Arabidopsis thaliana: one gene and its partner. The protein of the gene in region 1 interacts with the protein of each later gene in a pairwise test. Each region holds a gene or a part of one and is shown on either strand. Other genes may lie near its edges.

Evidence for each region.
Region 2: the proteins of TPD1 (region 1) and EMS1 interact in binary tests that used the Arabidopsis thaliana proteins (3 or more experiments, as listed by UniProt).

The regions. Positions count from the first base shown.
Region 1 is NC_003075.7:12,835,566-12,840,936, forward strand, and holds TPD1 (tapetum determinant 1), read left to right. Parts: upstream 1-1,787; 5' UTR 1,788-1,893; intron 1,894-2,560; 5' UTR 2,561-2,654; coding exon 2,655-2,742; intron 2,743-2,873; coding exon 2,874-2,969; intron 2,970-3,707; coding exon 3,708-4,054; 3' UTR 4,055-4,665; downstream 4,666-5,371.
Region 2 is NC_003076.8:2,283,197-2,289,544, forward strand, and holds EMS1 (Leucine-rich repeat transmembrane protein kinase), read left to right. Parts: upstream 1-1,633; 5' UTR 1,634-1,891; coding exon 1,892-5,470; 3' UTR 5,471-5,659; downstream 5,660-6,348. Other genes in the region: XBAT33 (uncharacterized protein), read left to right, coding at 1-188. UniProt on the Arabidopsis thaliana protein: Receptor with a serine/threonine-protein kinase activity required for the specification of the correct number of male archesporial initials and for the subsequent specification of tapetal and middle cell layer identities.

The DNA of each region.
Region 1 (5,371 bases):
GGATACAACATGTTGTAGATTAGTGTTATTGATAGGAAATTTGTAACATCTCTAAATGTTTTTGACCTATGATTGTTTTTTTTCCTTACAAACTTATACCATTCCCATAGCCTTAGCATCTGCCATTGCAGTAACATTAACGATTTCCATGTGAAAAACAACCAATTTTAGCAATAATTTGGGTTGACTTTGTCGAGATCTTGGCTCAATTATATATATTCATACCATTACTATATAAGAACTGATGTCTTGTTTATTTGATGTCAGACGCCTGAGAGGTTTCAAAGTTTTTAAAAAAAAAAATTTTTAAAGAGAAGCGTGTGTGGCTTTAAATAAGGTCAACTAGGAAATGGGAATCATTCAACAAGAAGAAAAATGACAAAATGAAATATGAATGAAGAGGAGGAGGGGGTCGAGAAAGGTTGAGAGAAGCAGACCAAAGCTCTGCAAAACTCTGTTTTATTAATGACACATTGTGCTCTGTCTGTCAAAAGCAATGCCTTCTTTCTAGTGCATTTATTGCCCATTCCCAAACAAAATATACAAATAAGTGTAAGGATGCATGATATAGTTTAAAAAACTATTTGAAATGCTCACATTCTTTTTGAACTTCTCTTTTAAATTTGCAAAAAAAAATTATATTTTTTTGTTCCAAAAACTGCAAGCAAATGTTGATACGAACGAGCCAACTTGTCATTTTATGACCTTGTTTTATCTCTGCCAGTCAAATAACTCTTTCCGTTTTCGCTTTTTTGGCTTACTTCTTACTCTGTTGGTTTGCCTTTTGTTTGGCCTTACTTTCGTTTATAGGAATCGAATTTCAATGTTTTATCTTTCCTGTCGAAATTAAATTGGTCTTTCTAATAAATCTCATTTTTTTCTTTTTCAAAGATTTGTTTATTTAGTGAACAAATTCTTAAGAGAGTTTTTTTCCCCAAGCAATTGAAAATGAATCATGTAATGTTGATTTTTTTGGTGCAAGTTTATATAGTTTGCTAGAAATTTGGCCTTCATACGATATTTGAACATTTTGATATAAGATTTCTATCAGAAGACAGAAGCTACACGATTGATTCAGCCAGAGAAAACAAAAGTTGAACCGAACGATTAAACCCACACACAAAAAAAAACAAATAGAATAAGAATGAAGGAGAAGGAATATAAAAATGGGTACAAGAAAAAACATCATCGTCGCAATCATAAATGCAATTGAAGGCGCGTGGAAAAGAGACTCGTGTGCTTCTGATACTCCCACGTGAGGATGTGACAATTTAATATTACGAATTCAATAATTACCCAATCTTTCTTAATCTGTTAATTTATCTAAGCCAATCATTCATTCCTTTCACACCCGCCACGGTGTCAATCCAAATTTTTTAGAATCACCAAATTACACCTTTACCCTTATATTGTTTTTAATTTGTTTCCGAATTTTACCAACTGTTTCAATAAAACGTACCAACCCATTTCTGGTTGGATACAAGCGGGATTCATTCCTATATAACATTTTTAACGGTATCATTCAATCATACCGGTCCAATTTATTTCTATCATGCTATCTATATAACATTTTCTTACAAAATGTCTTTCTCTATACCTTTTCACATTCGAAACTTCAAAAGTTAATGTGTCAATTTAATTACGCATAACTCGAAAAATGCATTTTAAAACAATTAAAATTAAATTTATCTTAATTTGACGTTATAAAAAAATATTGAATATATTTCCGAGAAATAATAATAAGAGAAAGGACTATAAATACGTCTCTAGTGTGTAATGTGTAACACAGACGAGAGTCCTCAAATCCATTTTCTCTCTCTATCTCTCTTTATCCCTTCGTCTTCTTCCTCGGCGACACCACTTGCAGGCGCTAACTCGACGAAGAAGGAAAAGGTGAGAGAAACTCTCTGAAAACTGTACGGATTTAAACGTATATATGTGTGTATGTATACGAATCTGATGGTTTAGTTTTCTGGATTTTTCTCCATTCTCTGTTGATTCTACTTTTTTTGTTTGTTTGTTTGCTTTGTTTCTCTGTGTTTCACGCTGCACTACGCTCCAGCTTTCTCTTTGTTTTTCAGAACCAGATTGCTTTTTTCCATGAAACTCGATCGAGATTTCTTACTTTTTCCTATTTTTAGTCGCTTTATGATACGATTCATCTGTCGCCTGATTCGCTTCATCTCCTTGGTTTGATTTTAGATTTTCAATTTCTTCTGTTTTTGGTTACGTTTGTGTTCGCTGTGATGAAGTTTTCCCTGAAACTTGTTAAAAGCGATAATGCATTTCGCCGTCGTTTTCTTCGATTTTAGGTTTAAGCTTCTCTCTCTCTCTTTCACTGTACATTGCGCAACAGATTTTTGATTTTGGTCAAAGTTTTTCAAAATTTCTGCAGTAGATTCCTTATATTTCAAATCAGAGAAGCGAGTGATGTTAGGAGCCGCTTAAATCTGGATTTTCCTCTGTTTTATACTGTTCATTGATATGATGGATGCAAGACAAGTCGTGTGATAAGATACTCATAAAGTTTTTTTCGTTCTCTTTCCTCTGGTTTTTACAGATTTTCCGGTGTTAGTCACATCGACGCAGAAGGAACAGAGAAGAAGACGAGAGTCAGCTTCATTATCAACTTTAGTTCTTCGACGTCTACGCACATGAACCGACGGCGACTTTTGGTATCGGCGACACTGCTCTCGTATTTGCTCTACGGCATGGCTCTCGTCTCCGTTGAAGCCTCCGGTGGTACGAAATTCCTTAAATTAAACGTAGATTCACTTGTTTCTTAAACACTCTGTTATGCTTAGGTTAAACTTAGATTCCTTAACCAAATGTTATCTTCTGAGTGTTAATGGTGGAAAATCTCGTGGTTATAGGTGAAAAGCTTAGAGATAATCTGGATTTGACTAAAACGACGACGTCGTCACCGAGCATATCACATCGGAAAATGCTGCTTCTCTCTCCTGGTACTGGTAAGGGGATTTTGATTTTTTTAGACTCCAGTTTTACATTTTACCAAATCGGTGATTGATTCTCTATTGTGTTGATTTTGTTAAATTTGTCTTGGTTCCTCCATTTTCGTTAAGAACCTCGTGAAATGGTGAATTGTTGTTTTGTTTGTTTGTTTGCATCAGAACTTCTCTCTCTGTGGTCTCTCTGTGAATGCACAACTTCCTGATGCGTTTCGTCCTTTTTGTTTTCACAGCGTCGTCAGTCTTTTGCACGTCTGTGTTTTCTTGCCCCTGCTTTTGTTTCTTTGTTCGTTATACTTTTGTGGACCCACTTAAGAGCCTCATGACTTATCTTAAGAGTAAAAACAAATAACATCATCTTAAGATTGTGTGTTTTCAAACGTCGAATTTTACCTTCTGTTGAATCTCTTTCTTCTTATTATGTGTATGAATTAGTAATATATAAATAATTAAAATTAGGAAGATTTAGTTTTGATGACTTGTTGACTATTTACTGGAGAATGCATACATCTGTATAGCAATGCTTAAACAGCTCCCTACTTCATCCAGCTGTCAAATTAATACTAGTATTCTCTTTTTTTCATTTTATACTCCAATATTTTTTTGGTTATTCCATTAAATTTTTACTAGAAAATGTAGTTAGAGAGAACGAGTCTTTAGCATATCCTCTTAGCAATGTAGCTACTAATATACTGAAATTCCTCTGTTTTGATTGTGTGTGTGATTGTTTATATAAAGGAAAAACAGAAAGGAGTGTAGAGCCGGAGAGAATTGGAGAAAAGTGCAAGAGTACGGACATAGTGGTGAACCAAGCAGTAACGGAACCAATGCCTAACGGAATACCAGGCTACATGGTAGAGATAACGAACCAGTGTATGTCTGGATGCATAATTTCGAGGATCCACATCAACTGCGGTTGGTTCAGCTCAGCTAAGTTGATAAACCCAAGAGTCTTCAAGCGTATTCACTACGACGACTGTCTCGTCAACAACGGCAAGCCTTTGCCTTTTGGCTCCACTCTCTCTTTTCACTACGCCAACACTTTCCCTTACCATCTCTCTGTCGCCTTCGTGACATGTGCTTAGGTCGTGGCTTTTTCTTTTAGTTTTTTTTGTTTAGGATGAGATAGTAGAAAGAAACAGAGGGAAATTAAGAGGGTCTTACTAGATACGGAAATATGAGATTAGTCGTATTCATACCATACCATCCACTTTTGTTTTTTGGTTCTCTTGGGATGTGAAACAGTGATAGATAAATGAATATATATCCAAACTCTTTTTTCCCTCTCTGTTAAGCTTTTCTCAATACCTATTGTTGTAGCTGGAAATGGTCAAAACCCCCAGTCTCAGACCGTAGAACTGGCATATTGGGTCATGGAGCCCTTAAGACCACTAAGAGAAATAACCTCGGAAGCAATCTTTGAATTTGAACATGGCTAAGACTTTATCTATAGGAAAAAAAAGAAGAAGATGAAATCCTGTTGATTGAAGAACGAGAATTTCATTCGGACCAGTTGCTTTAAGAATTTCTTACGCTTGGTATCCACATTTCGTTTAGTACGATCCGATTGGTTTACTCATTTTTTAGATTAACCAATTATGGTTTGTTGTATGAGTTTGTACTTCCGTTTTCTCGTGTATCCCTTGGCTTGAATAATATACTGGATGATATCATACAAATTTCAAAATAAAAACAAAAAGAAATTTAATATATTGTTGCGCTTTACATATTAGTATAAATTATTATTTTCGACACTTGTTCAATTTTATAGAATTGAACAGTGGATTGAAGAAATGATGTGGAATGATTTGATTTGTGTTAAAATGACAAATCTTATGTTATTTAAACATGACAATGGATGAATGGATTAATAATTTGAAATAGACAATCAAATCTACTGTTATTGAAAACATTTTAAGTAGTGGATTTGAATTGATTGAGTGACTTTAGGTGAGATTTCTGGGAGTTTTTAAGTTAAAAATATAAATATCCAAATCTCATGGTTTTAAGTGAGATTTGAGAGAATATAAATATCAAAACTCATCAAACTTAAATCACTCTAAATTCATTACTATATTAGTATAGATACATGTTAAAAGATTTTCTCGTGTTATCGCGTGATGAAAATCTCTATCATTTTTTTTATCCTATGAAATTATGATATTTTAAAACCTACTATTACTTTGATCCAAAATTAGATTTTATACTTATATATTTTAATAAAAGTTGTTGAATAAAAAGTTTTTTTTTTAACTTTAATTTTTGATTTACCAATTTAACTAATACAAATATATTATGATAATATTTTATGTTCGGAAACTAATTTAGTAGAGTGAATTAGTCGTTTGACAACATAGATACTTAGATAGTAAAAGTTTAGTATAAAATCGTTGTTGGTGACC
Region 2 (6,348 bases), on another chromosome or scaffold:
TTGAGACACATGGAACAGAGAGACATAGCGAAGAACACGTCGAATCTTCTCCTTCTCGAACAACAACTGAACAGGAGAAGATAGAAGAAGGGCAAAGACTTGGGAAAACAACAACTTGTTCAAGTATGTTCTGGGGAAGAAGAAGCTGTAGCAGAGAGAACCAATGCAACTCCGAGATCAATGCTTGATCATAAACATATTATTTGTATGTACAGAGAAAGAAAGAGGAGAATCTATATGTCTCCCATCATTTCTTACTTTTAAAATGGGGATGAGCCACAACACAGAGAGTCTTCTTGTTAGGTTTGTAACGTTTGTTTTTGACTTTGGAGAGGCTCAAGTTATTAATTATGGATGATGATTTGTAATTGTCAACATAATGATGGGGTCATTTTGCAAAATCTTTCTATTTTTATTAGTTGGACCCATTTGTTATAGTACATAGATGAAAATATTGAGACTTTCTTATAATTTTCAACCCAAGAACTAGAAGAAGTCAAACAAAACTAAAGGTAATAATGAATGATTCTCTATAGCTCTTGATGAGAAAAATCTGACCACACAAAGTCCAAGTCATTTTCTTCCTCTGCAAATAACTTAATACTACTTTTACTCTTATTAGTTCTTGGATCCAAAAGAAAGAAAAAACGAAAAACAAACAAACAAATGAAGCTATCACTCAATTAGTTGGACTCGAACTGGTTTGGTTTCAGTGATGCGCCAATTTCAAAAAGCATTCCCATTTTTGGCTTTGCTACTTCGAAATCTTCATTTGCAGAGCTAGTCTATATGACTTTAAATTTCAATTACATTACCATTTTTTTTATTAACTTATTATTATGTCATGGATCAATAATTCTATATAGTTCAACCTATAATGAATTTATGAGAAAGAGTGGTCCACTAACCTTATAATCAACTATATTCACTTAATTAGGTTTAATAATCTAATGGGGGTAAAGTCTTTATGTGATTAGAAAAATGGAAACAGATCCCAAAGGGAAAAAGCTTAAACATTCCCAAAGGGGAAAGAAGACATGTGGGGGAACTCTGCTCTTTTTTCTCCTCATTTTTTTAATTTACAATGGACCACCACATTCTCTGTTTTCTTAATTTTAACCCCCTTTCTTAATTATCTTCGAAACAAGAAAGCAAAATTAACTTGTATACTATAAAAATTAAGAATAATGACTATACAATTTTGTTCTGTTTTTGTTCGCAATGAAAAAAGCCTGAACATATGTAGTTAGATTAGATAAATCAAAATCTACTGCTATAAAGTAAATGCAAGAATTCCCAAACATAAAACCACCCCCTAAAATGATTAGCTGTAATCTATCTATAATTGGTTTTGATTGAAGCATCTTCGGATATCACATTAAATGAATGAAAATACACAATTAATTTGACCAGCTTTTTAATAAAGAAGCCAAAACAAAAACTCAAAATTACAATTTGACCATACAACTTTCGAATATTTAGAAAACAAACCCCGTCAGCTTTAATCTGGTACACAGTGGTTGGGATTCCTGCAGATTCGAGCCGTACTCTCTCAAGACTCTGACCCATGCCTTCATCCATATATAACTATTCATCATCACAAATGTATATTTAAAAATTCACGCAAACAAAACAAAGCTTGAAAATAAGAAATATTAAATTGCCGTTACGAAGTCTTATTACGTCACGTGAGTTTCGTGCTTCTCTTTCTCTCTCTCTTCTTCTTCTTCTTCATCTTCATCTTCATCTTTATCGCGCCTAAAAAAAAAACCCTTCCTTTTTCTCTTTAATGGCGTGATTTCTCTTCTCTGCTCTTGTAAAAATTGAAACTTTCTCTGTAAAATCGTCTCTTTTAAATCTCCGAGTTTTCTTCCTCCTTCTCTAAAAGAACATGGCGTTTCTTACCGCATTGTTCCTGTTTCTCTTCTTCTCTTTTTCGAGTTCCGCCATTGTTGATCTTAGCTCGGAAACAACTTCTCTCATCTCCTTCAAGCGCTCACTAGAAAACCCATCTCTCCTTTCTTCATGGAACGTTTCGTCTTCCGCGTCTCACTGCGATTGGGTTGGCGTTACGTGTCTGCTTGGACGAGTCAACTCGCTCTCCTTACCGTCTTTGTCTCTGAGAGGCCAGATTCCGAAGGAAATTTCGAGTTTGAAGAACCTTAGAGAGCTTTGTCTTGCCGGAAATCAATTCTCCGGGAAGATTCCGCCTGAGATTTGGAATCTAAAACATCTCCAAACCCTTGACCTCTCAGGAAATTCTCTCACCGGACTTCTCCCGAGGCTACTCAGTGAGTTACCTCAGCTTCTCTACCTCGACCTTAGTGACAACCACTTCTCCGGTTCACTTCCTCCATCGTTCTTCATCAGCTTACCTGCACTGTCTTCTCTTGACGTCTCCAACAACTCTCTCTCCGGCGAAATCCCTCCTGAAATCGGGAAACTGAGTAACCTCTCCAATCTTTACATGGGACTCAACTCATTTTCCGGTCAAATTCCGTCGGAGATTGGTAACATCTCGTTGCTGAAGAACTTTGCTGCACCTTCTTGCTTCTTCAATGGACCGTTACCAAAGGAGATTTCGAAACTGAAACACTTAGCAAAGCTCGACCTTTCTTATAATCCACTCAAGTGTTCCATTCCCAAATCGTTTGGAGAGTTGCATAATCTGAGTATACTAAATCTTGTCTCCGCAGAGCTTATTGGATTGATCCCACCAGAGCTTGGTAATTGTAAAAGCCTCAAGTCACTGATGCTGTCTTTCAATTCTCTCTCTGGACCTTTGCCATTGGAGCTTTCAGAGATTCCTCTGTTGACGTTTTCTGCTGAAAGGAATCAGCTTTCGGGTTCATTGCCTTCATGGATGGGGAAATGGAAGGTACTGGACTCACTTCTGTTAGCTAACAATCGGTTTTCAGGTGAAATCCCTCATGAGATTGAGGATTGTCCAATGTTGAAACATCTCAGTCTAGCTAGCAACTTGTTAAGTGGTTCGATTCCTAGGGAGCTCTGTGGTTCAGGTTCGTTGGAGGCGATTGATCTCTCTGGGAATTTGCTTTCTGGAACAATTGAGGAGGTCTTTGATGGATGTTCCTCTCTTGGAGAGTTGTTACTTACTAATAATCAGATCAATGGCTCTATTCCTGAGGATCTTTGGAAGCTTCCATTGATGGCACTTGACTTGGATTCCAACAACTTCACAGGAGAAATCCCAAAGAGTCTCTGGAAATCAACGAACTTGATGGAGTTTACAGCTTCTTATAATCGTCTAGAAGGTTATTTGCCTGCAGAGATTGGTAATGCAGCTTCACTGAAGCGGTTGGTTCTCAGTGATAATCAGTTAACAGGTGAAATCCCAAGAGAGATTGGAAAACTCACATCTTTGTCTGTCTTGAATCTGAATGCAAACATGTTTCAAGGGAAGATACCAGTTGAGCTCGGTGATTGTACTTCTTTGACTACATTGGATCTAGGCAGCAACAATCTTCAAGGACAGATTCCAGACAAAATCACTGCTCTCGCTCAGCTTCAGTGCCTGGTTCTCTCTTACAACAATCTCTCCGGGTCAATTCCATCAAAACCCTCTGCTTATTTCCATCAGATTGAGATGCCTGATCTCAGCTTTCTTCAGCACCATGGGATATTTGATCTCTCCTACAATAGATTGTCTGGCCCTATACCAGAAGAACTTGGCGAGTGTTTGGTATTGGTAGAGATTTCACTGAGCAACAACCATCTCTCTGGAGAGATTCCAGCTTCACTCTCTCGTTTGACCAACCTCACAATCCTGGATCTATCTGGAAATGCACTGACTGGATCTATTCCAAAGGAGATGGGCAACTCTCTTAAGTTGCAGGGATTAAACTTGGCGAATAATCAGCTCAATGGCCATATTCCAGAAAGCTTTGGCTTGTTAGGTAGCTTGGTGAAGCTAAACTTGACTAAGAACAAGCTTGATGGACCGGTTCCTGCTTCTCTTGGGAACTTGAAAGAGCTTACACACATGGACTTGAGCTTTAACAACCTAAGTGGCGAGCTTTCATCAGAACTGTCTACAATGGAAAAACTTGTCGGCCTCTACATTGAGCAGAATAAGTTCACCGGGGAAATACCTTCAGAACTTGGTAATCTTACGCAGCTGGAGTACCTTGATGTTTCTGAGAACTTGTTATCTGGAGAGATACCAACAAAGATCTGTGGATTGCCCAATCTGGAGTTCTTGAATCTAGCCAAGAACAATCTGCGAGGAGAGGTGCCGAGTGATGGTGTTTGTCAGGATCCTTCCAAGGCATTGCTTTCAGGGAACAAAGAGTTGTGTGGCAGAGTGGTTGGATCAGATTGCAAGATCGAGGGAACTAAGTTGAGGAGTGCTTGGGGGATTGCAGGACTCATGCTTGGCTTTACGATCATCGTTTTTGTGTTTGTTTTCTCTCTGCGCAGATGGGCTATGACAAAGAGAGTGAAGCAAAGAGATGATCCAGAGCGAATGGAGGAAAGCAGATTGAAAGGGTTTGTTGATCAGAACCTGTATTTCTTAAGTGGAAGCAGATCAAGGGAGCCTTTAAGCATCAATATAGCAATGTTCGAGCAGCCGCTTCTGAAGGTGCGTTTAGGAGATATTGTCGAGGCTACAGATCATTTCTCTAAGAAGAACATTATAGGAGACGGTGGTTTTGGGACGGTTTACAAAGCTTGTTTACCAGGTGAGAAAACAGTAGCGGTGAAGAAGCTAAGTGAAGCCAAAACGCAGGGAAACCGAGAATTCATGGCAGAGATGGAGACTCTAGGGAAAGTGAAGCATCCGAATCTTGTGTCTTTGCTTGGATATTGCTCTTTCAGTGAAGAGAAGCTTCTGGTATATGAGTATATGGTAAATGGAAGCTTAGATCACTGGTTAAGGAACCAAACTGGGATGCTAGAGGTTCTGGACTGGTCAAAACGCCTCAAAATCGCAGTTGGAGCTGCAAGAGGTCTAGCTTTCCTACATCACGGTTTCATCCCTCACATTATACACAGGGACATCAAAGCGAGCAACATTCTGTTAGATGGTGATTTTGAACCAAAGGTGGCGGATTTTGGGCTAGCAAGACTAATTAGTGCCTGTGAATCCCATGTTAGTACAGTCATAGCAGGGACTTTCGGGTATATCCCACCGGAGTATGGTCAGAGTGCCCGAGCCACAACCAAAGGAGATGTCTATAGCTTTGGCGTGATACTATTGGAGCTTGTCACAGGGAAAGAGCCAACCGGTCCAGACTTTAAGGAGAGTGAAGGAGGGAACTTGGTTGGTTGGGCGATTCAGAAGATCAACCAAGGGAAAGCTGTGGATGTTATTGATCCACTGCTCGTATCTGTGGCTTTGAAGAACTCTCAGCTTCGTCTGCTTCAGATAGCTATGCTTTGTCTTGCTGAAACGCCAGCTAAGCGCCCTAACATGCTTGATGTGTTGAAGGCTCTTAAGGAGATATGAGCCATATAACCTTAAATGTTGTAGTTGTTTCTTGTTGTTTAAGTAAACTGCTAGTACTAACCAAACAAGGGAGTGGTAGGGTTTGTATTTGTAATGTTAATGTAAGTGTTCTTCAGTTTCTTCTAAATGTCGAACAAAGAAAAATAGGTATTCCAATTTCCAATTAATTGCACTTAATTTATGATCAGGTGTGAAATAAACTGATGTTATACCAAACCAAAGAAAAAAGTTTATAACCCAAAGATAAAACTTTAAAACCAAATATGCAATGTTTTCATCGGTACTGCTAAATAAATTTGGTTTCAATTTTTTTTCATTTTTTCTGAGTTCAATTCGAGAAAATCATAAAAATAATATATGGATACCTAAGAAAACCAAACATTTTTTATATGGACCTAGCTCGGGAAGTTATTAAAGCACATGCGGTGGTAGGAGTGTCTCGGAGATTAGTGGGCAGAGAAGATAGACTAATCTCATGGAGTAGACCAAGTGAAGGTTGGTGCACGCTGAATACAGACGGAGCGTCAAGAGGCAATCCCGGATTAGCGGCGGCAGGAGGGGTCTTACAGGAGAGCAATGGGGAATGGCGCAGAGGGTTTGCAATTAATATCGGGATATGCTCAACACCTCTTGCTGAGTTATGGGGTGTATACTACGGGTTATTCATGGCCTGGGAGTGTAAAGTATCCCGATTAGAGTTAGAGGTGGACTCGGAGGTTGTTGTTGGGTTTCTTCGGACAGGGATAAGTGAATCTCACCCGCTGTCCTTCCTAATACGCATGTGCTATGGCTTTATATCAAAGGACTAGATAGTCCGGATTTCTCACAAGTATAGGGAAACTAATAGTCTAGCGGATGAGTTAGCGAACTATGCATTT